Linked DNA regions of Styela clava. The protein of the gene in region 2 purifies or fractionates together with the protein of the main gene of each other region. This does not show direct contact. Links are inferred from orthologs where the notes say so. Each region holds a gene or a part of one and is shown on either strand. Other genes may lie near its edges. The genes, in order: signal recognition particle receptor subunit beta-like, syntaxin-18-like, NBAS subunit of NRZ tethering complex-like and sec1 family domain-containing protein 2-like.

Region 1 (7,796 bases), on a different chromosome or scaffold from region 2:
AAACAATTGCGAGTTATCAAATTTCTGAAAAAAATATTATAAAAGTCTGATGTAGAAATATAGTTTAGCTCTATGGAACATAAATTCGTAAACCATTGAGCTATCTAGCTAATTCCCGTGCATAGTCAAGGGTATATCGCACGTAGTGCGTCTTTGCAACAATATTTAAAACTGCCGTTCTACATAATTTAAAGATTACCAAGCTTTCGCTTCAACGTAACATCTCACAAACGATGTTACGAATTTAATTTTATATAAATTTTCGGAACAAAATGAAACGAAGGATACAATTCGTCCAACTAATCCACAATGTTTGGCGACATATTTTCAAGATAACATAATGGGAGCCTAATAGAAAACGTCGCCTCTCCTTCAAGTCGGTTAAGAAAATAGCTAACGATTAAAATAAGAAAGATGCAGCAGGAGTGGCTATGTGAATCCCTATTGGATAGCGAGGAGTCAGTCAAACAATCCTCTAGCTCGCAGGGTAATAAGTAGTCTGATAAATGTGTTTTAAAGTTTATCAAGTAAAGTTAATGACGCTTTCTTTTTTACACAGCAGCACGCAAAACACACGGGAGGAATCCGAAAGAAAGCAAATGCTAGAATGTATTTGAAACATTCGCCACGATGAGCAAACTACCAAGCTAAAACAATATCAAATACTAACCTGACATAACCTACGAAACAGAGCAGGTTGCGAGCGATGGCAAGAGTGGCCCTAACACCTAAAACGTGCGTAAAACAGGTCAAAGCAAAACTAGTTTAGAAGTTGATAAATTGAAGTGAAAAGCTGATAGAGTTCGGGTATGAAGTTAACATTCCAGATACATGACATGTTTTTTCAGTAGATTTTTATAAAAATAAAACAATATTACATAACGTTAGTTGGCGGAATGTGAGTCAACACACGTACACCGCTCTCCAGAGGTTTCGCCAATATCAGCATCTTTCTTGCTTATAGAATAATGTTAGATACTCACATTTATTTCAGTTACTCAAATAAAAATTTGACTCCAGGTTCTTTCGGTACAGCATTCAAAAGAAAAATTTCAATTCTACTGCAGTCATGGAAACTACAGTTTCCTCTGTGTCGTCAGAATGGATTAGATTATGAAGTAATAATCAAATCATTTTCTGAGAACATTGTTGAAATTTAAAATCTAGCAACCTGAGAACTAATCTAAATTATAAATAATTCAAATAGGATAGGAATTTCACATTTTTATTTCAATTTAGAAGATAGTCGATACGGCGAACCACGGCTTCCCTCCCGGTTAGTGGTTCAAGGCGGTAACCGGTTACGTGTATTTGTTTCAGATGCATGGGTTTGAATGTAACTAACATTTGACAAAAAGTACCTCAGAACTATTACAAATGAAATTCCTAAATTTATTTATCTGTCAAAAAAGGTAAAAAAAATATTTCTTTATATGCCTGACTGGTACTCAACCATCCATATGCTTGCTTTTCGATGGACGTCATCAGCAATACAAGCCATCGTGGAAGCAATGGAGAAGTTCTTGTCGGTGCTTTCCCGTTTCCAGGTTGCGTCTCTGAGTTTTTGTTTTTTTTAGTTTAAATTTTAGAAAATTCTAGATTATCAAGACTGGAACTGCAGTTCGGTATCTTAAGCATTACAGTACGGTACATAGATTACATCTTTAAGAATCGGAATGTTGAAATCAGGAAATGGGTTCAGTTTTTAATAGCCGATTTGACACCATCAGACCATGTCAGTATGTTGAACTAAATGAACTGGTAACAAATACTTTCTAATGGAAAATGAATTCAATGCCTAGCCTACCGGTACATGCTGGGTATTCACAACTTGCAGACTTTTTACAACTTTTTAAATGACTTAGCAATGGGACAAGGCCTCTTGGTAAATCTGTAAATATCTGAATATTAAAAAACCGAAATACCGGTTTGTTGTTTATGCCTACTAGATTGAATTCCCAAACATATAATTTAATTCAGTATTTATCAGTAAATTTTATACAATTTACAGTTGATAGATCTAAACATAGATTATAATATTAATTTGGAGAAAAGAAGTAAAGCAGCAAAATGGTGTTAGCAGATCTTGGTCGAAAGATCACGGACGCTTTGCGTTCTCTGAGCAATGCAACCATTATCAATGAAGAAGTTTTACAATCAATGCTCGGGGAGATATGTCGAGCCTTACTCGAAGCAGATGTCAACATTCGACTCGTTAAGCAGATGCGAGAAAATGTCCGCTCAGCGATTGATTTCGATGATATGGCATCTGGTTTGAACAAGCGTAAAATGATTCAATCCGCTGTATTCCAGGAGCTTGTGAAACTTGTCGACCCAGGTACCAAAGCATGGCAGCCAACAAAAGGTAAAGCTAATGTAATTATGTTTGTTGGTCTTCAAGGTAGTGGAAAAACAACGACTTGTACTAAGCTTGCGTATCATTATCAGCGAAAAAATTGGAAAACATGTCTAATCTGTGCGGATACTTTTCGTGCCGGAGCTTTCGATCAGTTAAAACAAAATTCAACGAAAGCTCGTATTCCGTTTTACGGCAGTTATACTGAAGCTGATCCTGTGATTATTGCGCAAGAGGGGGTAGAAAAATTCAAAGAAGAAAACTTTGAAATCATTATTGTCGATACAAGTGGAAGACACAAGCAAGAAGATGCTCTTTTTGAGGAAATGTTACAAGTATATAATGCCGTTGCGCCTGATAATGTCATCTTTGTAATGGATGCCACAATTGGACAGGCATGCGAATCGCAAGCAAAAGCATTCAAGGAAAAAGTCGATGTTTGTTCTGTTATCATTACAAAACTTGATGGCCATGCGAAAGGTGGAGGTGCACTTAGCGCAGTTGCAGCTACAAAATCACCGATCATTTTCATAGGTACTGGTGAACATATTGACGATTTCGAAATGTTTAAAACGCAACCGTTTATCCGAAAACTTCTTAATATGGGTGACATTGAAGGCCTTATCGACAAAGTTAACGAACTGAAATTGGATGAAAATGAAGAACTATTAGACAAATTGAAACACGGACAATTCACTTTACGAGACATGTACGAACAATTTCAAAATATTATGAAAATGGGGCCATTCAGTCAAATTATGAGTATGATACCAGGATTTAACGATTTCATGACAAAAGGACATGAAAAGGACTCGATGGAACGACTAAAAAAACTCATGACAATTATGGACAGCATGACAGATGATGAACTTGACAGTAAAGAAGGAGCTAAACTTTTCACTAGGCAGCCAAGTAGAGTCGCAAGAGTGGCGAGGGGTTCTGGTACGCTACCTAAAGAAGTCAACGAGCTTATGATGCAATATGGAAAATTCGCGCAGATGGTCAAAAAGATGGGAGGCATGAAAGGACTTTTTAAACCTGGCGGAATGGATAAAAATGTTAACCCGTCACAGATGGCCAGACTTAATACGCATATGGCAAAAATGATGGACCCAAGGGTTTTGCATCAAATGGGTGGCATGCAGGGACTCACAAACATGATGAGACAGTTTCAACAGGGTGGAGGGCCTGGTGGCAAATGATTGATTTATAAGTAAGAATACAATTTAAAATAATATATTCTAAAGACTAAAATCGCAATTGGAATATGGCTTGCATGAAAGCTCACCAGATTACTTGAGCATACTTAGGCTATATATGAAAAGTTACAGTGTTTTGCTATGTTTAAACTCATAATGCTCATTGGATATTTAATTTTTTCTTATGCTTCACTTTTTTAATAATTGATGATGTTGAAGAGTATGCCAATAAATAGGATTTATTCCCAATGGTCCTTTCTAGGCCCGGGGTTCCCACAATTGTACAAATATAAGGGAACAAACTTCCCAAGGATTTTGACCCAACGTTGAAAATGATGTGATCTGATGATGTAAATTTCCTATTGTTTATGTGTTCATGTCATTGTTGAATTTTTTTATCGGATTGTAAGCAGATTTTAAACTATCGTTGGTTTTCTAGAGATTAGGATATAGAGGAAAACCGGATCGATATTAATTACTGATGTACCGGTAATACAAGGATAAATTCTTGATTTTTGTTTTCATTATGGGAATTTTGGTGTTGCTGTGAATCAACAAGATTTCTTGTTTTATTGTACATTTATTTCATGTGATTGAAGGAAATCATGCCAGTTTTATTCTTTATTCTATTATGAGTTTTGTTTCATGGCGCATGTGTTTGCAAATGAGACAGAATATTATTCGCCGGATATTTTTGTGAAAATATATGGAATTTGTATATATATATATATATGTACTGGAGAATACCTTTTTAAGCAGTGGAGATTGCATAATATTTTGTTTTTCTCATGATCTCATTCTTACAATGCTGTGGACAAGCAGAGTATTATGGACATGACAATAACGAGGAAATTTAGTTTGACAACTAAACAGTCGCATTTTTGTAAATTTTGAAGATTTGGTCTGAATATCACCAAGCCAGGACCAGTTTCAATTAAATTTAAAATATTTTCTCATTATTTATTCTTGCGACTACTTTTATTTACATGCTCAATTGTGTTAGTGAGTCATGCTGAGTGATACTATAGCAAGCATGGCTATGGACTCCCTTGAGGCCTAATTGAGCTAATTAAGAATACAGACGAGACTCAGGGGTTGAAAATTTTGAACCTTCTTGTCACGAAAATTTTCATGGCGAAAAATAAATACTTTGCAACCCTTTTACCGCCGTGGTGTAATTAGCCACTGCTGTGAATCATAGAAGTAATTCTCGCTCCAATACCATAATAAATTGACTTGATTAAAACCCCAATCTCTCACATTGCATCCCTAGCGATGACCAAAGTAACTGGTAGACTTGCACATTTTTGAAAGAGTGCACATTACCTTTAAAAAATATTGTTGCATTATTCTGTGTATGTATATTACGGCTTTTTGATCAAGAAAACTGTCTCTATATTTCAGATTTATGAACTATAGATGTTGTGAACCAATCATTGACATGTCATACTCAATCGAACGATATTTAGACATTTGTCAGGAATATGTGGGAGAGGAAAACATGTTGTATTTTGTGTTCGGAGTTTCGTTCATTATTTCTCTCCTATTTTACCTTGTATGGAAACTAGTTGCTGGCGGAAAAGTCAAGCGACGTGGAATTTTATTCGTCGGATTGAGTGGTGCCGGGAAAACTTATCTTTTGAGTAAAATACTAACTGGACAGGAGATTGAAACTGTAACATCGTTGAAAGAAAATCAAGCAACGTACGCATCAGAAAAAGGAGCTCTTAATATCATTGATATCCCTGGCCAAGAAGCAATCCGGCAAAAGTTTTTTGACCAATTTAAAGATACTGCAAAAGGAATTATTTTTCTCATTGACAGCGAGTCGTTTTCTAAGGATTTGAAAGATGTTGCGGAGTATTTATTTAATATTTTGACCGACCAGAACGTCTTGAAATGCGTGCCGCCTCTTTTGATTGCATGCAACAAGCAAGACCTATTGACTTCAAAATCAAAAAAAGTAATCCAAGATCACTTAGAAAAAGAGTTGAACACAGTTCGGAAAACTAGATCTGCGGCCTTGAGTTCGATTGATGGAGAAGAAGCAACTGTGCATCTCGGTGTAAAGGGGAAGCCATTTGAATTTTCTCATTTAGGAAAATTGAAGGTTGATTTCATTGAATGCAACGCTAAAGGTGACTCTGAAAATGAGTCTCGACTTGATGAACTATTACTTTGGTTAAATAGACAGGCATGAGTGTTTATAGAGCAGCCTTTTCTCAAATTTTTTTTTGTTTTGGAACACCAAGAAATTGTGAAAAGGGTGATAGACTGGCTCAAGGTCTGTCAGCCTGTATGTTGCCATTTGTGAAACAAATTTATGACCCAAAATCGAGCAATTTAGATTCGAGGCTGTTCTGTTTCCACAGAACACAGTTTGAGAAATTCGGATTCACTGATTGTTGGAATCCATTTTCCTTTGTTTTTTGGTGGTTGTTTAATAAAAGAATGAGTGTGAACCTATATTAATCCCAGTTGCAATTATTGCTTTATTCATTTCTGAGAAATCTTTTCTTTGTGGAAATATAAGAGAAGGAACTATTATGGACGTTTGCTTGTAGAGAATTCACAGGGGAAATGCTCGCTGCAGAGCAGGTTGGTTCAAAAAATTCTAGGTGTCCAAAGGGAAAATGTGTGGCTACATTAGTCATTGGGCATGTATGACCTTACGACCATTTCGCTAAATTTTTTTTTTTTTTGGAGAGAAAAGAGGCCATATCCACCCTACAACCTGTTGAGCATGTAAATTGGTAATCCTAAACACTGATTATGGGCTGCTACAGACAATAAGTTTTGCTGAGAATTCAAACCACATAATGTCAAGTTCATGAAATCCTCCCAACAAGCACCATAGCTAAAAAATATTTCACCAGTAGACTCACACCTACATAATATACAGGAAGACACAGATTTAAAAATTGTTCTAAGATTTCTACAATCCTAATGAGTGCCCAAAGAAGATCAAGTCACATTTATACCAAGATCAGTAATATTTATATTCAAGACATTGCGCAGATGGAGAATTTATTCGCCGATGATTTTTACCTCAACTCATAACAGAGCGGTATAGAACTTTCAATATTTATTTCAAAAGAGATGGTACAGAGATCATCACTTGTATAATCATGCTAGATAAATGAAGAGGCTTATTTAATTCACTTCGCGAAAAATATGAAAATCAAAATTGATTGAGAAGAATTTTAAGATTCAACAATCACAATTCAGAATCGTATTATACATATATTTCATCATGATCAAAAGGATCTTAAGGCCATTGGAAAAACACATGCCATATTCTGATACATTCGTTAGAGGTATTATACCAAATAACCCTAAATTTTAATAATAGTAAGAAGTACTAATTCCCACTTGACAGTTCTGCCAACACTTTGCATAAATTACATGAAAACTGATTGCAATTTTTTCAATAAAATCATTTGAACATATTTTTATTCTTCTGCAACAACTGTATTAGTTATTCTCCCAATTCCTTCCACTTCACAGGTGATCACATCACCGGGCTGAAACAAACAACATGATTTATGAAACATTTAAGACTTCATTATATTTAGATAGAGCATTGCCCCCAAATACTGAAAGTTCGACAAAAACTCCCAGCCGTAACCATGACGACCATGCATGGGTAAGGGAAGAGGCAAATGGTTAGAATGAGTATATGGAGTGAGATTTAATGTATTTTCTGGGTTAGGCAGATATAAAACAGGAATATGTTTAGAGCGGTGGTTCCCAACCTTTTATGCCTCATGGCCCCCTTTAGGAGGCATTTAGCACTGATGGCCCCTTGTTTATCATTCCAGAGGTATTTATGATGTTATTTAGATTGGTAGATTCCAAATCCTATTATTTTCAAACAATTCTTGCTCAACAAAGTGAAAGCACCTTGTAAAATAACCTCAGCAAGCAAGACGGGGAGTTTTCTAGTAAAAGTAACATCAGTTTTGCGCTTTCTGGCATGATGGTGCCCCCGCTGGTTTAGAGCAATAAAATATAGTGGGATTCAACAAGTACACATAATAATGAGCATGATCTTACAACTAAGTGGACTAGTCTATAATAGCTTCAAAAGCGAGCAGATATTGTCGAAATTGTTCATGAAAACTTCTAAGTCTTACTTGAATTTATAGTATAATAAAAACAAGAATGTATAATTGAATAATGATCTAATAGGATAAACACTAGTCTGGAAAAATGCACAGTCAAATTTGAAAACAGCTCTG
Region 2 (7,497 bases):
AAATTCAGATAAAAATAGAACATTCCTATATTATTTTATTTATTCTTTAATTATTGATTAATCCACATTGTGGAAACATTAAAAAAAAAAAAAAAAAAGAACACTGGTTTCGTTATGGAGGAAGGAAGCCGTAACCAACCAGCGGTTACGTGACCCACCCAACGGCGGCGAGGAGTCCAGCAATCCTCTCGCACATAACCATCCATCCCTGCATGGGATTCGAGTTTGCCAACCTACGCATGGCCATTTTGAAGAAGAGCCTAAACCATGTGCAAAAAAAAAAACAGATCCTGAACGACGCGCGTCGTAGGTGTGCTCGTTTTATAAATTCAAAAGTAAAAAAAGATTTCATTGTTCATTGTCGGCTTTTCAAAAATCAGACCACTTACGGCACAAAGAACCAATTGTGGAAAAAATTGTTGTGTGTTATTAGTGTATGGACAGGGATAGCACCTCATAATCATAATGAGCGCAATCTGAAAGATGTCGGAGGTACTCAACTTCGTACACATTTCCGCATGTTTGTAGTAAAACTCTTGAGCCTCTTACTATATTTTATGTATTCTGGTTCTCTCGGGCAACTTGCGTAAAGAAACTGAAACTAGTTCATAAATTTACTAGACAGCAGCAATACCCACAATTGAGTGCGATAATCCATAGCATGCTGATTCACAATTTGTGTGGTTGGTTCAAATTTACAAACCTTAAAATTTCATTATACCTCCAGGCATTGCAGCAATTTAAGGTATATTCAGCTTTGCTAAGCTAAATCATAAAATCACTAAATTTGATTTTATACTTATACATATAACACATTTTAATGATTGCTTGAAAGTGCTTCACCTTAAAAATATAACCTAAATCAGGCACTATCAGATGCTGATTCATTATCTTCTTATGGGCAGTTTTATTCGCAAGTGTTCTCTAAAAAACTTTTACAATGTGGATAAATAACACCATATACTTTCAATTCTCTTGTGGTTAATAATAATGCAGTTGCATTCACACTACCTAGCAAAGTTATAATCTATATATATTAAAGCCATAGACAAAAGCTGTAAATATTGCAGCAAATTTTAAGAAAAACATAGTGGCCTTGAAATCAGATACTGAGAATAAAGACAAGTGTAAATTGCAGATCATAAAATGATTTTATAATGAAATTGTTACAACTGGAACATGGAATTAAATGTCCATCAATATTGTTGGAGTCCGACTGAGATACCCATTTTTCAAACTGCACACCCACAGAATCAAAATTCAGAATTAAATGGTGACAATCAAAGTTAAAATTTCTAACAAAACTCAAAAAGCTTCAGGTTGACTAAGCATTCACAGCAGCTAGATAACTTAAGAATGCTTGCAAACAACAAAGTTTGATTTTCTTGGGATTCCCAGCTGACATCAAAATTCACCTCAACCTAGAGACAAAGCAGAATTTTCATTAGCCCAGAGTTGGGAGTCGGAGTTGAATGTATTGGCATTCAGAGTCAGGTTTATATTTCTTCCGATTTCACAGCCCCGCTTTCATTCAATATCAGATTTAGCTTTAAAAAAATTACACCTATACCAACATTTGTATTCAGCTTCTTCCAGTATTTGATTCCCTTTTAGTGCCAAATGATACTTTTATCACCACCCCTTTCAATATAGAACAGTAATAGTTATATTTATCGCACCTTATCAGCTATACCACTCAAGAAATAAAAGAGAGAATGAGCACATCAATAAAAATATCAATATCCAAACTCTGAACCCAGCATTGTTTTTTATCGCCTCCCGCAGTTCCTCATTACCACCTTTGATATTTTCAGTACTTTCAATAACTTTTTCTGATATTATTTCAATGTCTCCTTCCTGTTGCAAAACTTGTTCACTAAAAATTTCCTGTAACCGAGTAATTTCAACAACCTTTCCCTCGATTGCACGCACTTCATCAACCATGCTATTCATGTCATTGAATAACAGAACATTTTCTTGTTCCAATGCTGCAGCTTCAGTCTCAGAAAAATCATCTTCATCACTCTCTTCATAATTGAATTTGCTTTCAAATTTTATAGCTGGACGTTCTGTATTGTTTGAATGATCTGGATCCTGTGTCAAAGCTTTCTTATGTGTTTCCGGATTATGCAAACGTGAAATGCGTTTTTTGTCAACCACTAATTTAACTCTGATTGCTCTTTGTTCACTGTAGATTTTACATACAGACTTTAGGTGATTTTGTATTGAAGCAAGTACAAGTTGCCTATGGGTGCATTGTTGATCAGATATATTGTCTTGTTCGACGTTTTGCTGCATCACTGTAATGGCATCATTACATTTCTTAATAATATTCTGAGCTTCCTCATCAATTTTGTCTCTTTCATGATCACTCATTGGCTGTGACGCAAGGCCTACTGCTTGATGAGAATTTATATACGCAATGCGGTGTTGCAGTAAAAAATCCCGCAATTTTGATATAGACTGGACAATGTCATTGGCCTTCTTATTAAAATCAGATTTTCTCCTTTTATAAGCATGTAAATCCAGAGATGGTTTCTTCAGTACGGTATTATCTAGAATACTATTTTCTTTTCTAATATCACGAATTGCTTTCTTAAAATCATTCGTACGATCCATGAAGTTTATATGCATTATGATCCAAGTTTAATTGTCCAACTAAAACTCTATAAAATTTGGTTAAAGATATACATATTAGTTAAATAAATGTCAGAGGTTTCTATAAAACATATGCTGATATTTCCTATCTAGTCCAGATGTGATCGATCCTGAAAACTATGCCAAAACAAACAACGTCAAAAATGTGACAAAAAGTCCTATTTTGACATGCTTTTTCACAAATAAATGACTTAAAAATAATCAGATTGACAAACTAGAACAGATCGTCTTGAAGATATGAACTTCATTGGACCATTCAGATTGAAAAATGCTGAAGCCACTAGGTGACTTCTTGAACACTATAGTAGTAGTAGAATAGACTACAGCTATTTGAGGCTAGAATGAATGATTCAAAGATCTGATTTTTCTTCAATTCAACATTTATGCTTTGATGGGTTTACAGACTTTTCACCCCTAATATCTTTCCGATTACGAGGTGGCGTTTGAAAATAATCTATAAATTCCCAAATATCATTGTGTATTTATTAACAACTCCTAAAGTGAACAAAACCAGAACTCAAACAGTCTTGTCAGTTTGTGGTCTCAAAAAGTCTGTACCATTTCAAGCAGGTTTTGCAAAACTTCCTGTTAGACAATTTATAGATCGCTCATGTACCGGTACCCCTAAAATTTTCTAATATTTAGGATGCTAAGCTTAACTTGCTCTGATGTACCATACAAATATTTTTTCTATATCTAGGCAACGCATTACCGGTACATTCCCCCAAAATTTATAAGTATGAGTTTATTTCGACTCCATAATCAGCAAAACAATAAAATGAATGGTAAAAATAAATAAATAAAAACTGATTATGAAATCAGGAGAGCGAACAAAACCTTAGATAAGGTTTAAAACGTACAGAATGTATATAAGATGGAAGGTTTTGCCAAGAAGATGTGGTACGTGTTCACTCACCTAAAATATTTGAAACATTTCACACACGCTCACACACAACCATATAGAAGTTATTAAGTAAAGGGAACATGAAAAATTACATACTGGTAGTTAATAAAAAATAAATAAATAAAAATTACTTGCCACACCATATTAATAAATTTATCATGATTGCCACTGCCAAATTGATCAATTTTATAAATGGGAGTGAACAGTAAAGATAAACTTTTATAAAAAAATATATTGTCAAGCTGATTATAGATGGAGTCAAATGCCAAAATGCCCAACCAAAGTTGCCAGAATTGGGTACATGAAGAGGTGGGCTAGACCAGTGATTCCCAAAGTGGGCGATATCGCCCCCCGGTGGGCGAAAACGATACAGAGGGGGACGAAAAAGTCGAAGGGGGCGATAGGGGGGCGATTTCGCGAAATCCGTTTTTGCTCTTCGCATCGTGCACTTAATTCTGTACTCTGTGTGCATTCGCAGGCTTGAATCACGTGGTCGATTATCACGCTCGAAAGGATTGCTGGACTCGTCTCCGCAGTAAGGTACGGTAGTTGGCGTATCCCAGTGGTCGGCAAAATACGGCCGGAGTAAAAAAATCTGTACCGGGACGATTCACTGAATAGACCTATCCCCGACCTTTGCCCGCGGAAAATTCTTCCTATATACTTTACCATTTTAAAATTCTCGGTGCTTATTTTAAGAGTGTTTGGGAGTACATATTTGTGCGAACAATTTTTTTCGAAAATGGAGACATTACAAAGAACAAGCGAAGAACTGGGATTAGTGATGCCCATTTGGAAAATGTTCCAATCTTGGCGTCGTAAAGCTATCAAGCGTGATGCAGCAACATGACAGTGTCACATTAAATGTCATTGTAATAATTTTTTGATAAGACGACTGAGTTGAGTTCGCGAGCGACATAAAATTTGCCGACCCCTGGGCCGTAGTCGATAGTCGGTCACAGTTTTTTTTCACATCCGAGTCCATGAATCCAAAAACAAATAGCTGATTAATTCTATGGACTGGTGATAGGGCTGTAGGCCGTGGTAGGATAAGGAATCGGGGATGAATTTTACCGAAGTGTTTTGGTGCAGGTCATCAGGCTGTAGGAATGAATGAGATGTACGAAAATCATTATTATAACTTTGGGAAAATTAACTTTGCTTTCATTAATTTAATGTGAAATGGGGTGAATTTACGGGGGGTGAAATGCTATAAGGCAAGAGTACACGGTGGTATTTGAGGAGGTAGAACCCTGGATTCTTTCATTTCCGACCTATTATATGGTGAAAAAGGGTTTTTGAGCCGTGCTACTATTGTCATCAAAACAACGAAATCGCCTTTCCATCAGTAAACTGGGTAATTTCAGATATGATAAAAAATTTGCTGAAGAACACCGAGCTCATTCATCTCATTAAATAACACTATAAACTATGATTTGTCTTCTTATTTGGTCTGTAATATATTCGTTTCTGACTTTACATTTTTTTTGTAGTGCTGGGGGGCGATGAAGTTGTATAAACTACTTTAGGGGGGCGATGGTCAGAAAAGTTTGGGAACCACTGGGCTAGACCATAGGTTCTCAAAGTGCTCCGTACGGAGCCCCAGGGCTCCGCGAGAGAAACCCAGGGGCTCCGCGAGCTATCGGATTACTTTTCAAAATACTGACTAGTTTTGTAACTGTTCTAATAAGAAGCAATAACAGCTTTGATAAAATCTGACAACAAAATAGCCTCGAAATATGGCAAAGAGGCGGAATTAAAAAATGACATTATTTATAAGCAGGAGCGCAGCCAGGATTATTAAGAGGGTGGTGGTTCAAAATTGGAATCGGAAATTTCCGCGCAACATTCTTCGCGATTAAAAAAAACGGATAACGAGATTTCTATTGCGTAAAATATTTAATCCATGACCGATGCGAGCATTTAACGAACAATTGAAATTTATTTTATTGCATTCGGCTCCGTCGGTAGTTTCAGAATGAAAAAAAAGGTACATCGCGGAGCGCGCACAATTGATTGCGTGCGGCTCCGTCGGTAGTTTCATAATGGGGGAAAAGGTACATCGCGCGCACCATTGACTCTGTTTCGATTTCGCAGTTACTACGATGAAAACCTAACATAACACCAATTTTTGTGATTTACAATGTCTATAAATACGTTTTCAATCTGAGGTGAGTCTGCTGAAACCAAACCTGTGATCTTCCATTTTAAGTTTTAGTCTTATTATTTTAGAATGCCGCTTTTCAATCAAGAAATTTGAGTTGCGGATTTATCTCTTTATTAATTATTATTTTTAGCATTTCGTAACGATGACTATAATATGGTAACATGTTTTTCACATTGAACTCATAATTCCCCACGAGAACAAAAAAGCGAATAACGTCGTCATTGTGTAACTATACATGTATATATATGCCGAGGGAAATTTTTGATTTAGGGAGAATAAACACCGGCGTAAAGATGTTAAAAGATTCAAAGACACGCCATGCTGACGAAAAAAATCGGCGATTGTAACAAAATGCAATTGCGCACGTTATTAGCGGCCTTTTAAGTCTTCCAAAAATGTCAAAAGGGAAAAGTTTCGACCCCTTATTTATTAACATGTTTGTCAAGTGTCAAATTTACAGCTTTAGTGTATATATAATTTATGTTTGAAATTTAGATTTATGTATGACTTGTATTAACCCTAAGGTTCAGCATTTAAATTAAGTAAAGTACTTTTAACTTGCTCAGGAATATTAATCTGAAAGTAACAACTTTAACATTTATTTTGGGGCTCCGTGAATAATAGTCAACCTTTCCAAGGGCTCCGCAACACCAAAAGTTTGAGAACCCCTGGGCTAGATCACTTCATTGCCCAAACTAGAGCCTATTATTGCCAAATTATAGTCCAGATTGCAATAAGTATTCAAATCTATCAGTAACTTTATAAGTATGAGTAATTATAATTAATTAAGGTAGAAAGACAGGGTATAGGAATATGTTGGTTGCTAAGGTTATAAGGTTTTTTTTTTTTCATTCTTAGATATTGACTTCTGCAAGGATAAAGGAATTAGGAATAAAGGAATTAGTATTGTTATTTCACAGGATCATTTCTTCATTTAATTATTGTGGCGTAATAGATGTCAATTCAAGTTTGTCGTGGATGAGACATCAGCTTGCAAATTTTGTTGTTGTAGACACTATTTATATTCAATAAACTAGCCATTGTATTGATCATCACAGAACGACCTGAAAAACAGAAAATAAATCTGCGAGTAGGATATTCAAGGGTTACATATTTGGAAACAGCACTACCCTACACTTTTGTTTAGAATTAATTATTATTTCGAGTAGATATTGATTATTAGTTATCTATCTATAAAACGCTAGTTCAAAGACCAGAGTTGAAATATGGTTGGGACACAGGGTGAATTCCTCGCAAACCATGCAGAAACTCTCAAACCACACTGACCATTCGTATGTTGGCCTTCACATTAACTTCACAGCAGAACCTCAACCTTTCGAGTAGATATTTATTATTAGTTATCTATCTATAAAACGCTAGTTCAAAGACCAGAGTTGAAATATGGTTGGGACACAGGGTGAATTCCTCGCAAACCATGCAGAAACTCTCAAACCACACTGAACCATTCGTATGTTGGCCTTCACATTAACTTCACAGCAGAACCTCAACCTAGGATAAAATTTTGTATACACACAAAACAAATCATAGAATACCACAACAAATTAAAATGAAGGGGAGAATCCAATATATCTCCACTGGTCACCTAATTACAATAATAGGTACAGGAGCTAAACTATACGGTCTACAACCCTCATAAGGTATCACACCACCCATATAGAAACAAAGACCATGCATGTGTAATGTCAAAAATCCAACGTTAAGCAAAAAGGGAACATGCGCATGCAGATGTCAGAGTGTAAACAGCCAT
Region 3 (8,007 bases), on a different chromosome or scaffold from region 2:
ACGTTTTAAAATCTCTTGTCAAGTCTTGAAGACCTTCAACGTAGTTCTCTGCCCCAATGCTTAAGATATCCAATGCTCCTTCAATGTCTCTAGCGTCAGTATCCATTTGCACAGCCTGTTGTAAATACCATTCTTTGACCAACTCTGCAGAAAGTGAAGTGACTCGAAAAGTTTTAAGATGTTTGTTTTCTTCATAAAAGTCATATGCTGGATCCACTGGTTGTGTCAGCAACGTCAATTTATGTTGATATTCCTCTTTTTCACACCAATCTTCAGGATCACGATGCTTCACTTCAGGCCATTGACCGACTTCTCCCTCCTCATCAACGTAAGGCAACAAGCTTTTATATTCTGTAGGAGAAAGTGTCTTTGGAAAATTTGACAAAATAGGAAGACGATGTTCTCGTAATTCATCTCCATGAAATGTTAGCAATATATCAACTGATTTCCAATCGCATGAACGAGCATATTCTAAAGCAGAAGTTAACATGTCCTGTTGTCTAAAGATTGCAAATCTTTCCCTGTTGTAACGTTCTCTTGCTGCATCGTAGCCGCCCAGTAGACTTTCATATGTAGAAAGTCTGTCAAAGTATTTCAGAATCTTTTTTCTTGTTCTAATAGTTTCTTTTTGTTCAAGTGATAAATTATCAAAATCAAAATTTTTCGACCATTTTTTAACAAATTTTTCTCTTTGTCGTATTTCTTGTTGTCGTTGTTCCTCAACATCAAATCCTTCATATTCTTCATAATCTGATTCCGAATCTGAGGAAGTTGATGATGATTTAGATTCAGTGTGTTTCACCTCTCCAATTTTATCAATATCTGTAACTGTCAGTGCAAACTTTAAAAGCTCTCTAGCAGCATCTAGTTCGTCAGGTACTCTTTCACAACACTCGTGCATGACCCATGATCGTTTTGTGACTTTGCTTAAATAGTCCTGAATAGATGCAACTGAAACAGGTGATTTTCTCCATTGCCTTTGGAACACTTTGTCACTATCTAAGTTATATCTACGTGCCAGAGCTAGTGCTTCACCATATTCTTCATCATCCAATTTTTTTTCAAAAAGTTTCTCAGGTGTTGTTTTTGTCAAAGTTAACAGTCTATATGACTTTGTAACAAGTTTGGGCCGCTTTCTTGGAGGTCTAAAATATTCAATTTCAGTTAAATCATACATGGTTGATTTAGTGTAGTTTTTCAAACGGCCTGCTATACCTGGATGATCTTCTTTGTCACTGTCATCCAAAAATGGGTCATATTCCTCATCTTCCTCCTTTTGTGCTTCTTCTACCGAATCCATACGTTGTCGCTTCAATGTTTTAACTTGAGGTTGGCATTCTAACGCAAGGAAACCCTCATCTCTGCAGAATGATATTCTCGGAGCTGGCTCCAACCACTCGCATTGTTCACCAAAAAGGTTATCAAGAGACAAACCAGAAACACGTACAACTGTCAATGAACCAGAACAACGTGCTAAAATAACACTGGAGTCGTTCCACCACTGACAGTCAATAATGTTTTGTAATAAAGGATATTCCTTGAACTTTTTAGCAGAATTTATAGATTTCACAGCATCCGGATCCAGGCTATCAAAAAATGGTTGATCTTCTTTGTTCCAACATCTTTTGTGTCTGAGAGAAGGGATATCCCAGATGGAAAGACTACCGGATATTTGAATTGTAGCCAGAAATTTACAACATGGTGATAATGACATCGTATATATTCCATCAAAAAACTGTTTTCGCAATTTTTTACCCAAACCTACTGGAACAGTGGACAGCCTCCTCAGAAAACTCTGATTTCGTTTAGCATCATCAACATCTGAAAAAACATTCAGAGCTTTGAGAAAAGGTTCTTCTGACAGAAGCCGCCATGCTGTTAATCCAATCCTAGTCGCTCTCGGTACATCATCATCGCTCGTGGCATAACCAGCACATCCACCAACAATAATCATACTGTGGTCCTGATTATAAAGAACACCACTCACTCCATTAGAATAACTAGGTGAAAAATCAAATTCATACGTCATTTGATAACCTCTTTCATAAATGCTGTTTATTTCAAGACAAGTCGCCATTCCACTGTAAGACACGACCAATAAATGCAAACTGTCATCTTTATGTTTGTGTGTCACTTCATGTCCAATGAAAGTCAAACTACAAATGGCTGAACTATAATCATAAGCTTTTTTGTCATCATTCATGTGACCTTGATAAGTGAGTAAAAGTATTCCTTTGAGGTCACACACATAAACGGTACCATCGCTGTCAGAAAAAGCAATTGTTGTAGAATGTAGACTCCAAGAAATTTTTCGCCATTGAGGAAAAAGGTCTTTTGTAAAATTGCAACGCCCGACTAGCACACTGTAGTCATCTTTGGATGAGAGAACTTCCAAACATCCATCTTGCAATACTGCAATAAAATTACCATCAGGTGATCTAGCAAACATCCATGATTCTTGGCTGTTTATTAACTTGATCAAGTCTGGTGGCAAAATACATGATGCTCCTGATCTTACTGGAATACCAACAGCCCGGACAGTTGCCCATGTCCACCTTGATATTGAAGACTGAATCCGTTTGGCATTGTTGTAAATGACATTTGATTGAATTTCATCTTGTTGTGAACCTCCTGGAATATTATAAATTTTTATAATTACAAACATATTCAAGCAGCCAAATACAATTACGATTAATGACTGGTTTTAAAATTAAAATCGATTTTCACAGAATTAAAAAAAAATCTCTATAAACTGAAATATTACCACTGAGTTGTGGTCTTGTGGAGTCTGAAAATTCGCATTAAACTGCAAGCTGACTTAGGCTACTGAATAAAATATTGGGTCTGTCTGTTTGAAAATATATTTTCAACTTTAATATTAATAAAAGCTGTCAAATTCAGAGAATACACAGCTTCGTCATCGCCATGTATCAAATATGCTCACTTGCATAAAACTTTTTTTATATATGGATTTTTTTTTATATATGGACCAAGCAATAAATATCTCACCGACAACTTCCTTTTGTTCGGGCCATTCCACTTGATATGACAAGTCATATAATATTGCATCTTCTTCCAATGAATTGTCAGCTTGATTGCTAATATTCATTATATTTATGTATATAAATATATACTAAAAATAAGAATAATATATAAAACTGATCTTAACAAGAAATAAACTCAATAATTCATGGATGCATAATAAATTTGCATGTTACAAATTTCAAGTTATCTCCCGAAAGATATGTTATTAAACATTCAAAAAATAATTGAAGCATTTTTTTCGAAAAGGCTGACTCTCTATAGCTAACTTCTGGTAATTTAAATTGCACAACAGACTTTGAAAACAGATTGGGGAGTGACAAAAATGAAAAACAAAGTCATTAATTTTTATTCAAATTAGGAACTACGAGATAAATAGGTACTCCCAAAGTATGTGAACCAAGATGGAGGACACCGGAACGTAGTATGTGTACCAGGTTAGGCCATAATTTCAGGTACAAATACTACGAGTCACTTGGCTAGTCTCCGAACTCGTAATAGAACTAAAATAAGGAAAATTGGAATACAATTAGGGCCTAACCTTAACGTGGTACACATACTATGTTCAGAGTATTTTGGTTCACATACTTCGGGAGTTCGAATAAATAATACAAGCATATAGAGCTACAGCCGTTTTATTCAATATATGTTTCATTAATTGAATAAATCATAGCTTGTTTTGAGTATGCTTTTCACATCCACTATTGTGTTTTGTGTATGAAACATCTATCAACTCAATTACCCTAATTGTAACAATTTCAATCATATCAAAAGTATGCAATGCTGCCTCAAGTGTTCGCTTTTGCTCCTTGTATGGTAAAGTAGGTAATGGGGTTCCATTAACAAGAAATTCAGTTTTATTATCATCAGGACGTTTAGAACTCCGATCATACTTCTTTAGTTCATTTTCATAATGAGCTCGAGATAGGTCAATAGCATTCCTCAAAGGTTTTAGAAACTCTGTATCTAATTTATCCAAATGATCAAGTATTCCTGTTTTGTTCGTCTTATCTCTGATAAGAAGGAAACGAAACAAATTCAATGCAGGCATGAGTCTGTCACAGTCTTCAAGTAAATCAGTCTCTGTTCCTTGAGGTAATAAAAATATCAGCTCTCCTAGAGTAGACATTTTATGAGCTTCACAAAAAATTAAAGAATTTTTCGGGGAAATTTCTTGTAAAATTTCATTGAAACGGTCTTTTAAGTAACCAATCAAGACTCCTTGCACACCATTGTGATCTGTTGTTCTGAGCAGATGAACTAAAATTGAATATTTATCCTCCCAACGAAATAAATTCAGTAGTTTAGTCACATGTTGTATAGCAGTTGAACGGATAGTTTTCGAAGGTAGCATAACAGCAATGCTAATGAGATTTTTAAAAACATCAAGGATGGGATTTAGTGATTGACTACGACCTTGAAAGCTTCCATAAGACATCTTTATATTATAGACAACTTCGCCACATGAGATTGAGCTATCACTTGTTTGATTCAAAATGAATGAAAGAGTTTCTAAACCTTTCCATGCCACACACTGGTTTTCACAAGAAAGTAGAGTGTTTAGTGATATGCATGTAAATACCAGAAGACATTGACTCGAATAAACTTTAGGAAATTGATCATAAAGCAAACCTCTACACAGCAATAAAAAAACATAACATGCTCTCGCTCGATCGACTTGTTTTACAATTTCAAATTTAGCTTCCATTGACCGCTCCTCAGCTGGTTGTAACTTGTACCAATTCACAATATGCCACAGAACATTTGGTGAGTGAAAATGTGTTATTTTAAGCATAACGTCACAGCATATTTTTGAAGTCCCCGGAAAAATTACATTTTCTCTTATCGAGTCATTTTCTTTATCTGGTAAGGGCTCATCTAAGTCAACTTGTCCCAGCATTATGAGCAAATTGCATAAAAACTGAAACATATAACTTTCAAATTGAAGAATATTTGAAGATATCTGGTTGTTTTTAGAGTATATTTCTCTCACCACTGGGTTTAATAAATCAATATATTTAGAAATAAAACTTTCAATTTTCTGAGCTTCGAATTTTTTTGTTCGTTTTAATGTGGGATCAAAATCTTCATACTTAGGAATATTTAGACTTTCAAGATAATATGATAAAGTTGAAAATGTAGTTTCAAGGACAGTGATACACGCATCGATGTCATTTAAAGCAAGCTTCTCAAGAACATTTGATAATGCAGGCATGAGAAGTTCAACATACATCGACTCAATACTCGGGTCAAATTGTTCCAATATACCCAGATAAACATCTTTCGGTACTGCGAATCCAGCAATTTTCTCCAAACATTTCTCATATGTCTTCAGATTTTCAGAAATGGCATTTTCTCTGAGAAAACTTATAGTGGAACCGATCAATTCCCAAGCAACAGGTCGGATAACAGTTTCTGCTTCTTTGTTTTCGTTGATATAATCCCACAATTTTTCAGGATTCCCAAGAGCTCCTTGAAATTTAGTCTGGAAACTGTTACTATTTTCCACATCCTCTCCATCATGGACATGAGTTAATTGAGAACTAGACATAGTGAATGCGACTTTGTTTAAGTTTAAATTGAACAGTTATGTAGGCTACCCTACAAAAAGTTATTCCACAGATCTAATCAGAAGCAATCATCTAGAAAAATTGATGCAAAATATTAAAGTTCAGAATGAAAATGGCAAACAAAACCAGATATATCATCAGTATTATTAAGCTATCACAATATGGAAATTTAGGGTATACGTAATCATTGAAAGAAAATAATCAGTAATGGATAGGTCAGGAATAACAACAAGTTTATTCTTTCCCAATTAAAGGAAACAAATCCTTGACACTGCAAGTCCGCAGCTACCATTACATATTTTGGGTCTCGTGTAGCACAGCAATTTTTGCACAATCCTAACCCCCACCTGACTACGCCATCTAAAAATTGCGTCACTACGACGTCACAAACACGTCATAGAGCTTGTCAAAGTATACCTACAATCGCCCCAAATAGCATCTGCGCCGACGATAAACAACTCACTAACAGCAGCGATCTCTCTCGTATCAGGATCGCTGCGCCGACAAAACGAGAGAAATAGCTGTTCCATTTTGGGTGAACGTTTGCGTGTCTTGGATGACAGTGCATATAGTTTGAAGGCCCTTATTATGTCACTGTGATGGTGTAGTGACGTGATTTTTGGATGACCCCGTCAGGTGGGGGTTAGGATTGACATATGCACAAATTGTTATGCTTCACCCACTAGAAGTACTTTGGGTACGAAACTACACTAGACCCCATATTTTTTCTTGTATAATTAAACCTTGCGGGTATCTTTGCATCAACAAGTAGTGAATTTATCATACAGCAGGCCACATAGATGTGTCGTGACCATGAGACCCCTAATTAAATATCCAAATAAATGTAACATAAAATCATGATGACCAGAGTATAGATTCAGTATAGAAAAAATAGCTACTTTAGCAATTCATTTCACAGATTAGGATATCTGTGTTCATAAATTTAAAAGTAATTCTTGTAATAAAATGTTTATACCGGTAATTAAAACATTTTATTAATTATTATCTTTTGAATGAAACGCTTCATGTAGAATGACTATTTCAATCAATAATAGAACAATATTTAACCTTTTATAACAATATCAATAATGAGCATTCTCTATTACTATCAAGCAAGTGTAAATCTGACTAAATAATTGTTTTTACCAGATAATTACATTTGTTCATAGTTATTCATGAGAAAATGTTGAACAGAAATATATATAAAAAAAAGAGAATTGCACATTGCAGAATTGAACACATCAAATGAAAATTGTGGCAAAGAAAAAATATTATTGAGTCATGCATACTGACATAAAGGCCTACACTTTGCTCATACCCTATCTCATATTATCAACAGAATTTTACGTCGAAATATTTTGAACGCAGTGAGTAGGGAGAGTAACTATAGAATGCCAAAAGTTTTAAAGAATATTGTCCTAAACTTTGTAAAATTTTCTGATATTTGACACCTCACTGTAACAGCACATAGAAATGTATTTCAGATGTAACCAAATTGTCTGATGTCTCAGCAGGGCTGGAGAGTCTGAGTCATGAAATTTTATAGAAGGCTGGAGTAGGAGTTATCAGTTAAAGGGTTTATAAAGAGCGAGTAGGGAGAGTGGCTGAAGAGAGAGAGAATGCTAAATGTTTTAAAAAATATTGTTATAAACATTGGAAAATTTTCTGATATCTGACACTTCACTGTTACAGCACATAGAAATGTACTTCAAAATTTCAAACCAGATGTCTCAGCAGGGCTGGAGAGCCAGAGTTGTGAAAAATTTTAGTGGCTCCATCTTATAACCATTTGGTTATTATTTTACATATATAATTTTCTAATGCTCCCTATAAATAATTTTCAAGTTAAATTTGTATAATTAAAAGTTCAAGGTTCCACCTAAAAATTTGAAATCATTATACAGTTATATTAATTTAGCGGACCCCTTCTGTGAAACTGCATTTAGGCTGTTTTATGGTAGGCCAAGTAGCTATATCAAAAACCTAATGACAATCGATCCTAGCTCACGGTAAATAAATGAAGGAATCAAATAAGGAATAAAACTTGTATCCCTACATTTCACAGAAAAAATACAATTAAAACTGTTCTGTTCATTTCGCAGACATAGAAAATAGTTGTTAGAATGTTATTAATAAATACTTGCAGATAACTGGATAATGTCTGTACATCATTATGTAACTAACGCAAGGTTTTTGAGAGGTTCACTCAAATATTTTGTCAATGCATCAGCTTTTGCTTTCAACATTCCCACATTGACAGATTTTTCTGCAAAAAGACACAAAATCAAACTTGCAACTCTCGTCATGACAACTCGACCATCATCGCAGTCCAAAAGCATAAATTGTAGATTTTCATTACTAAGTGCATTACTTCCACTTTTCTCATATGCAGACC
Region 4 (7,444 bases), on a different chromosome or scaffold from region 2:
AAGCATGCAGAACGGAAAAGCACACATGCTGTTTTTTAGGTTTCTGAATCTTGCGAGATTTGACGGAGCGCATTCGCAATGAATCGGAACCGTGAAAGCGAAAAGTGTGATTACACGACGCCAAGACGTCGCCGGGCCGCCCTTATCAAACAGCAATATGACGGCGGAAGAGATATTGCGTGATAAATCAACGCAACTTCATCTTTTCGGTATCGGTAACCAGTTTTGGTTTCCTTCCCCAGTAATGTAAATGTTTTTCCTTAATTTTTGTCTTTTTACTGATTGGAAAAAATAAACTCGATTTGACGTCGTCGATTATATAATCGTGTGGAATATTTTCATGTTTTTCTGACTGAAATTATAGCATAGTCCCGAGACCAAATTAGGTCGCGTGTTTCCCGAATCATTAATCACGGAAAGTTGAAATAGTGCTACCAGATGGAAGATTGCAAGCGACCATCCGACAAAATATACATAGAATAATCCTTGTGGTAAACATTCCGCGGTTGACTTTAAAGAAGTAAAAATTATCTGGGAAATAGATGGGCTGACGGAATACGGTAAAACACATGGAGACCACAAGGAAACACTTTTTGCATAAGATCTAGCTGAAAATATGACGGCAAACTTTTGAGGTAAACAGGGAAGTTCAGACGAAAATGGTAATTGTAATAAAATACGCGGTTCATACGTGACATTACCGTACTTGATTTATTGCACAATATATACACCAGAAGCTGATGATGTCCCACGAAATTTGCAACTCATTTCACAGATAAAAGAGCGCAACCACAAACGCTTATTACAAAAAGAAATCCGGATTTAGGTTATCTGTAAACAAAGTTCTGTCGACAACATCGGATGGTGAAGTTAATCTGTTTGATCCAAGTATAACTTCACATTGATTTGACTTAAACTTTCGTAAAACATCATTGACTTGTGAAACCTCAGTAGCTGTAATGCCTCCTATAACATATATTATTAAAGTAGGAAAATCACATGGTCTGGGAGGAGTGACTTTTCGGAACATACTCATTCCCATTTTAAGTAAGTCTTTGCGACCAGTTGTAATATGCTCAATGTCAGGCTCAAGATCTGGTTTTAGTGGATGGAATATTCGCTCAATAACTTGACTTAGCAGAGGTTGGTAAGAAGGGGGCTCAACTTTGCCAAATTTCAATATATGAAATAGATGCAAATCATTTACGACGATTTTTTCAAGGTTGTTCAAAGTTCTGTAGACGGTGTGAGTTAATTTGGCTTTGTTTTTCAGGTCTTCTTCAGAGAGCTTAAAAGAAGTCATGAAGTGCTCTGGGAGATCCTCACACTGAGTGTTGGAAATGATCTCACAAAGAGAATCGCACAAATTCTCATACACATCAATATCTATGTGACTTTTAAATGCATAAGAAGCATAAATCATTAAAGACAACAATTCTTCAAAAGTAGTTGAATCGTCCTTAGCAAGTTTGGTGATTTGATCCAAAATATTAGAGACATCATCATCTCCCAACTGCTGAAGAATTAGTTTCTCCGTCATAGCCAATGTTTCCCAACTTTCACAAGATTCATCTTTTAGCAGTTGGGCAGTGGCCAAACCAAATTGAAGTAGTGCACTATTGTACAGAACAGCACCAGCATTTCTTTTGAAAGCACCAACTAGATTTTCAATATTATCAGCAGGATTAGGTTCATTGGTTGAAATATCACCATCTTCATTAAGACCTTCTTCTGTGACTGCTCTAAGCAATTGGTTTCGAATTTGTGAAACTGCTTTTACACTTTTTACTCCACAAGCTTCCGCAAGAATAGGGCTTTCATCTGTATCTGGAACCAAACAACCAGGATACACAATTGTATCATCAACATCTTCAGGACAAGCATCACATAAAATTGACATATCAACTGACACATTGTTACAATGAGCAGGAAGGCCGGGCAAAATTCCCAGTAATTGATCAACTAAACATCGTTCCCCATGGGATGCTGGGCCAATCAAATCTAAAGTTCTGTCAATGAAAAGGACACCGATTTTCCCTGGATAAGTGTTTTTTTGTTGATTAACCATATTGGAAAGCTGTACTGAACACAGGTGGCTTGTTGGCCCAAGTGCAAATATTTCTTCTTTACAACCTATAGAGTGGAAACATTGTCGTAAAGATGATGTCAACATTCGAACAAGAGTTCTGTATTCATGAGGACACATGTAGAAATGGAGATCTTTAAGATTAATCGTGCTTCTACCAGAATCTTCCATATTCAGTTCAATTAGATCTTTGTGTTGAACAGGAAAAAATGCATCAAATGAAGGCGTCAGAAATAAGTTTTCAAACATTGGTGCCATGAATATGGGGAGATGAAGAATTTCGGTTTGCACATTGGTGTCACCCATCCATTTTTGTAGTTCATGCTCCAGATCTTCGAAAGTTCTTTCATCCTCTTTCAGATATTCTTCCCCTGAAGCATATTGATGTAACTTAGGCTCTAGAGTTGTGATCACCAAACAGTTATTAAAAGAACTTGCAGACAAAATATTTTCTATAGTATATGTTGTCTTCCCAGTAAGAGGTGAGCTTATGATAAACACAGCTTTTTCCTGCTTTTCTGTTCCACTCTCAAATGCAGAAAATTCTCTTATGTTAGTGGCTCCACTTTCAAATAAAAGATCTGCTCCTCCACACCAATGCAAGCATTCCGCACAAGGATTGTCCATGAAAATAACTGCATCTTGAACCCTTAAAGCGACTTTCTTCCAGGGTGTCAGGCAAGTGTGCTTAAAGAAATTATTCATGACTATCAATAGTGATGCTGTAATAATGCACACAAATCACAAGAAAAACATAAATATCAACGAACATGCAATAGTCAATGACAAAATTCATAGAAACTTGCACAAGTTTAAATCAAATTTTCATGAAAATTATAAATGATGAAAATGTTTCACAATAAAAAACAGAAGGCAAATTTTTCGCAAATGCGATTATCAATACACTATACTCTTATCACATTCCAAGTATATTATTAGGTATGTGTAAACATTAATTAAATGATATCCAAATACTGAGACAAAACATGGCTGTCTATCTGTGAAATGTACTCTTTTGCAAGATTTTATCGCTTTTCTAATAATACTGAAATTGAAAAAACAGGATTCCAGAAGTACTAGCTGGATATGGACTCCTGTAGACCAGATTCACATAGCCAATCCTTCTGCATTCTGGCCAACCATTATATACAAATGAGCATAAAAATATAGATCCATGCTTTTTAAAGAAACAAAAATTTGCACCATTGAACAGAAAACCATTTTTAACTATTGATCATACACTATAGCTGGAGAATCAATATGACACCAATTGGAAAGTAATAAATAAAAACAATGGTTGAAGATAGAGAAAAATAGGAAATACTGATTTAATTTGAGAATATCAAAATCAAAGGGATTCCAAATTGCAATAAAATAATGATTTCTACACAACTACTTACATTCCTTATATTCAATTTCCAGAACACACAAAGTTAATTAAAAGAAGAACACTACAGTTGAAGTGAATAAACTTGGCACATTTATACAAGTTCTTGGGGTTTCATACAATATAAATTTAGTTTCAGCTGTAAGATTTGTGCAAATACTTGCTGTTCATTCTTCTGCATATTCAGCTTCAGTGGTTTCAACATTAGATTCTTCTAAAAGAGAAATTACTTGAACTAAAACATGTTCATATAGAATCTTAACTATATTTCATAAGACAAAGATTTGAAAAAGCCAAGAGTCAAACTGGCTTATTATTGATTCAAGCATTATATCATTCAATGAACACAATGATACCGTAAGCCTATTTCTGTTCATCACTGTGATATGAAGAAAATTATTAAAAATGATCATATCAGATTCTTACAATGCAAATACTATTGTGAAAGCCTTCACTATTATGGAAGCCCTCCAAGTTCAATAGGTACGATAAATCCTATCCAATTTAAATATTAATCAAATCTAGTTTGTTTTCAAAATGATGCTTGAAAATTATTGAATTAAAAATAAAATATTAAAAGTGAATTTGGCCAAAATTTCATTTTACTACTTAATTTGATGGTACAAATTAATTAAAAATCATTAAAGAAAGCAAGAAAAAATACTACAATATTGAACAATTACTTCGAAACATGTATATTAATTTATGCAGGTAATCGTGGTTTATTAATTTTGATCAGGGCAAAGCTACAAAGAATCCCATTGAAAAACTATAATGAAAAAGAAAAATTGCACTGCACTAGAATCTACAAAAAAACAAATGTTGATTGCGAACATTCAAAAATAAAATGATATCACTTTAGGCTCTTTTACTCATTTCATAATATAAATTACTTATTTACCTACTGATATATCGCTCTCACAAAAATAATATTCTGTTGCTTTCTTCCTTGACATGGCAAGTAATTGCACGGTTTTAACATTCTGATGACCAAAGTCCATATCTTCAATGTCTTCAAAATGCTTTGGGCTGATTTGCTTGATCTGAAATAAAAATGCTTCAAAAATACTGAGACTGGTACTGGTAGTCACCTGTTTAGGTGTAGGACTACAAACTATTGCAGCACAAAAAATCAGTTTTAAAAAGTTTAGACTTACAAGACAAAGAATATTGATCATGATCATGTTCGGGGAGCATGACTCTACAATGGCTCGGACTCGATAGGGACTCGAAGTTTGAAATTCGCAGAGACCCCGGGTTGACACAAATCTCAGATGACCTCCGACTCCACATGAGCTACATGCAGTCTATTTTCAACAAAGCAATATCCATCAAAAAAGGGGTGTACAAAATTCTTTCATGAAGATATACTATCATATTGAAATACCTTTTTCTTCATTGCAAAACTTCTCAATTTGGAAAGTTTCATTAAAGTAACATGTGGAGTGTATTCAAACGGATTTGTACTCTTCAACAATGCAAATTCCTTGTCGAAATGTTCTATAAATTTAAAAATAGAATTTGGGATGTAAGTGGTTTTTATTTTAGAAGTCCGAAATCTACATTTCAGAAAACCGACAACCAAACAATGTTTAATGTAATGAAATTCAGGCATACAAGACAGTCATTCCTTGCGTATCTGCCCTGAAAATGAACCTTGCAAATTGCAGTCTATATGGCAGTCTTTATCCTTCTATGGAAGGGGCAAATTAAACTGAAAATTGGGACCGCATACCAGAGCCTATTCTCTCAGATATAGTATAACATTGGTTGAAGGTTCATTAAAAATGTAATTGGACTCCTTATTTTTTTTCAATGTAAAATTTTTTTTAAATGCATGCTTATCCGACTAGTTTTATTATTACAAAGCTTTGCAAGATGCCGCTCTGAGTTGACCAACAGAAACCAAACAATGTCAGCCTTTGTATGAGATCTAGCAAATATTTTTTATTTTTCTTTTCTCAACTATTCACTTATACCATATATTAAAATAGCTTCATACCTGAAAACAGTTTCAGCTTTTCTTCATTGTCACCAGGAACAACTTTAGCAAATACCACTCTTTTATCAAAATGTCCAATGCCAGAAATATGGAGATTCATAGGCTCACCATCTAATATTGACATCAAGTCATCTCTACATCTTTGCAGTATTTTATTTGCTCTGAATGTTTAAACAAACAACTATTTAAAAAACATATCTGTTTTGCACATCCTAAATTCAAGTTAATTGAAGCCCATTTTATGAAATCACATGACTAACAATGCTTTTTCTTCAAATAGTTGTACTGTATTTGTATTTACATAAAGAAACCCAAGCGAAATTTGAATACATAATGTCATTCATGAATTTGTCCAACAGGAAACTCATGAATAATTCTGTGAGAAATATTCGAATAATGAAGAATTATTTTATGATAATAATGGACAAAGTTTGGCTGCGTCTAATCGGCATCCAATCCATACGAGGAAAAACAAGATTAATTCGAAATATTATCAGATTATAAGTTTGAATAAATAAGTTTATTCAATTCAGTTCTATGATTTTGATGGTCAATATATTAAAAAACCTAACCATCAAGTTTGGACAGTGGCAAAAATATAAAATTGCCAACATCTGATTACATATACCGGTACCTACCTACTGGTGATGCATAACAAAATGGATCAATGTTACAAATTACCGTAATCGAAAAACACTCAAATCTAATTTTTCGGTCTCACGAATAACTTGAATCTCATTGGTAGAATAAATTACATGAGAAATCATGAATTGCAATAATTTGAATCATGAATAGGTGAGAATAGATGTCAGCATTTATAACAGACTATCAAATAAATGGTGATATTCCATGATCATGATTTCGGGATTAACAATTTACACCTATGTGAGAGCCAAGGAAGTCCAAAAAAATGTCAAGTTACGAGCTCCAACAATTAAAACCCATGAGATTCATCAGTTAAATTTGCACTAAGATTTATATATAATCAATACATTTCGAAACATGATCATGATATATAGATTACATTGAAATTCTCAGATAAAAAATTCAGCAATACAAAAAATTGAGAAATGTCCAAATCAAGCTATAGCAAACATGACATGATTCATTCTATTTACCAGTGATGTAAAATTTAATAGATCAATGATTTTTCAAAAATCAAGAGAAAAACCATCATTTTCATCTCACTCATTCACAGTGCTTTCATTCGGGAGAGACAATAGACAAAGAGTAATGTGAGCAAGATCAACACCAACTACAACATTTTCCAATATACTCTCCTTTGCCACAATGCAATCTTGAACCTCTTTCATTTTACCTGGACCATTATAAAAATTTCAAATAGAAAATGCGAATTCGTGATTCATTTTGACAAAATATCTATGTGGTTATAAAGATATATTAGATTAATCTAAAATATGTTCGAAATAAATTATCACTGAAACTGAGCTCCTGCATACACTAGTTCAGACATCGCATCAACTTGACTTAGACTGGGCGGTGTGGCGCATTGTGCTGAGCATTAGTAATACGATCGCTAATGCACCTCTGATAATCCAGCATAGGTTTACAGGTTCGAATCCCATAGCGCAGGGGTCGGTAACCTTTTGACGCTCTCACAAAAATTGAGGGTCGCGAGTCTTGCCGAGCCACACATATTTTTAAAAACTTATCAAAAGAAAAAAAAATCACAAATGACATTTAATGTGACACATTTTGTTGCATCACGCTTGATAGCTTTTCAACATATCAGGCGGCACACTGGATGAAGCCAAGATTAAAACATTTTCCAAATGGGCATCACTTTGTAATGTTCATTTGCAAAATTAATTGTTCGCACGCATATGTACTTCCAAACATTGATGTGAATTTTTTCTCACGGTTTATCAAATTTCGATATAGTTTTCCTTCAAGAAACTACTTTTTATAAAAATCAAGCAGTGACATCTCTTGAATAGAATACAGGAAA

The links.
Region 1: the proteins of syntaxin-18-like (region 2) and signal recognition particle receptor subunit beta-like purify together in Homo sapiens (affinity purification with mass spectrometry; 3 studies listed by BioGRID and IntAct, counting the BioPlex papers as one, with this or other methods). This does not show direct contact. The link is inferred for Styela clava from reciprocal best matches to the Homo sapiens genes STX18 and SRPRB.
Region 3: the proteins of syntaxin-18-like (region 2) and NBAS subunit of NRZ tethering complex-like purify together in Homo sapiens (co-immunoprecipitation; 5 studies listed by BioGRID and IntAct, counting the BioPlex papers as one, with this or other methods). This does not show direct contact. The link is inferred for Styela clava from reciprocal best matches to the Homo sapiens genes STX18 and NBAS.
Region 4: the proteins of syntaxin-18-like (region 2) and sec1 family domain-containing protein 2-like purify together in Homo sapiens (co-immunoprecipitation; 3 studies listed by BioGRID and IntAct, counting the BioPlex papers as one, with this or other methods). This does not show direct contact. The link is inferred for Styela clava from reciprocal best matches to the Homo sapiens genes STX18 and SCFD2.

Annotation. Positions count from the first base shown.
Region 1 is NC_135264.1:14,566,782-14,574,577, reverse strand, and holds signal recognition particle receptor subunit beta-like, read left to right. Parts: upstream 1-4,959; 5' UTR 4,960-4,963; coding exon 4,964-5,755; 3' UTR 5,756-6,846; downstream 6,847-7,796. Other genes in the region: signal recognition particle subunit SRP54-like, read left to right, coding at 2,071-3,558; oxaloacetate tautomerase fahd2, mitochondrial-like, read right to left, coding at 7,008-7,079. UniProt on the Homo sapiens protein: Component of the signal recognition particle (SRP) complex receptor (SR). Ensures, in conjunction with the SRP complex, the correct targeting of the nascent secretory proteins to the endoplasmic reticulum membrane system.
Region 2 is NC_135253.1:4,203,432-4,210,928, reverse strand, and holds syntaxin-18-like, read right to left. Parts: upstream 2,879-7,497; 5' UTR 2,635-2,878; coding exon 1,684-2,634; 3' UTR 884-1,683; downstream 1-883. UniProt on the Homo sapiens protein: Syntaxin that may be involved in targeting and fusion of Golgi-derived retrograde transport vesicles with the ER.
Region 3 is NC_135260.1:20,997,624-21,005,630, forward strand, and holds the start of NBAS subunit of NRZ tethering complex-like, read right to left. Parts: upstream 3,145-8,007; 5' UTR 3,110-3,144; coding exon 3,010-3,109; intron 2,632-3,009; coding exon 1-2,631. Other genes in the region: glomulin-like, read right to left, coding at 3,710-5,593; ragulator complex protein LAMTOR2-like, read right to left, coding at 7,784-8,007. UniProt on the Homo sapiens protein: Involved in Golgi-to-endoplasmic reticulum (ER) retrograde transport; the function is proposed to depend on its association in the NRZ complex which is believed to play a role in SNARE assembly at the ER. Required for normal embryonic development.
Region 4 is NC_135255.1:2,229,543-2,236,986, forward strand, and holds sec1 family domain-containing protein 2-like, read right to left. Parts: upstream 2,792-7,444; coding exon 803-2,791; 3' UTR 689-802; downstream 1-688. Other genes in the region: A-kinase anchor protein 7 isoforms delta and gamma-like, read right to left, coding at 3,641-3,687, 4,375-4,516, 4,861-4,973, 5,476-5,636, 6,664-6,793. UniProt on the Homo sapiens protein: May be involved in protein transport.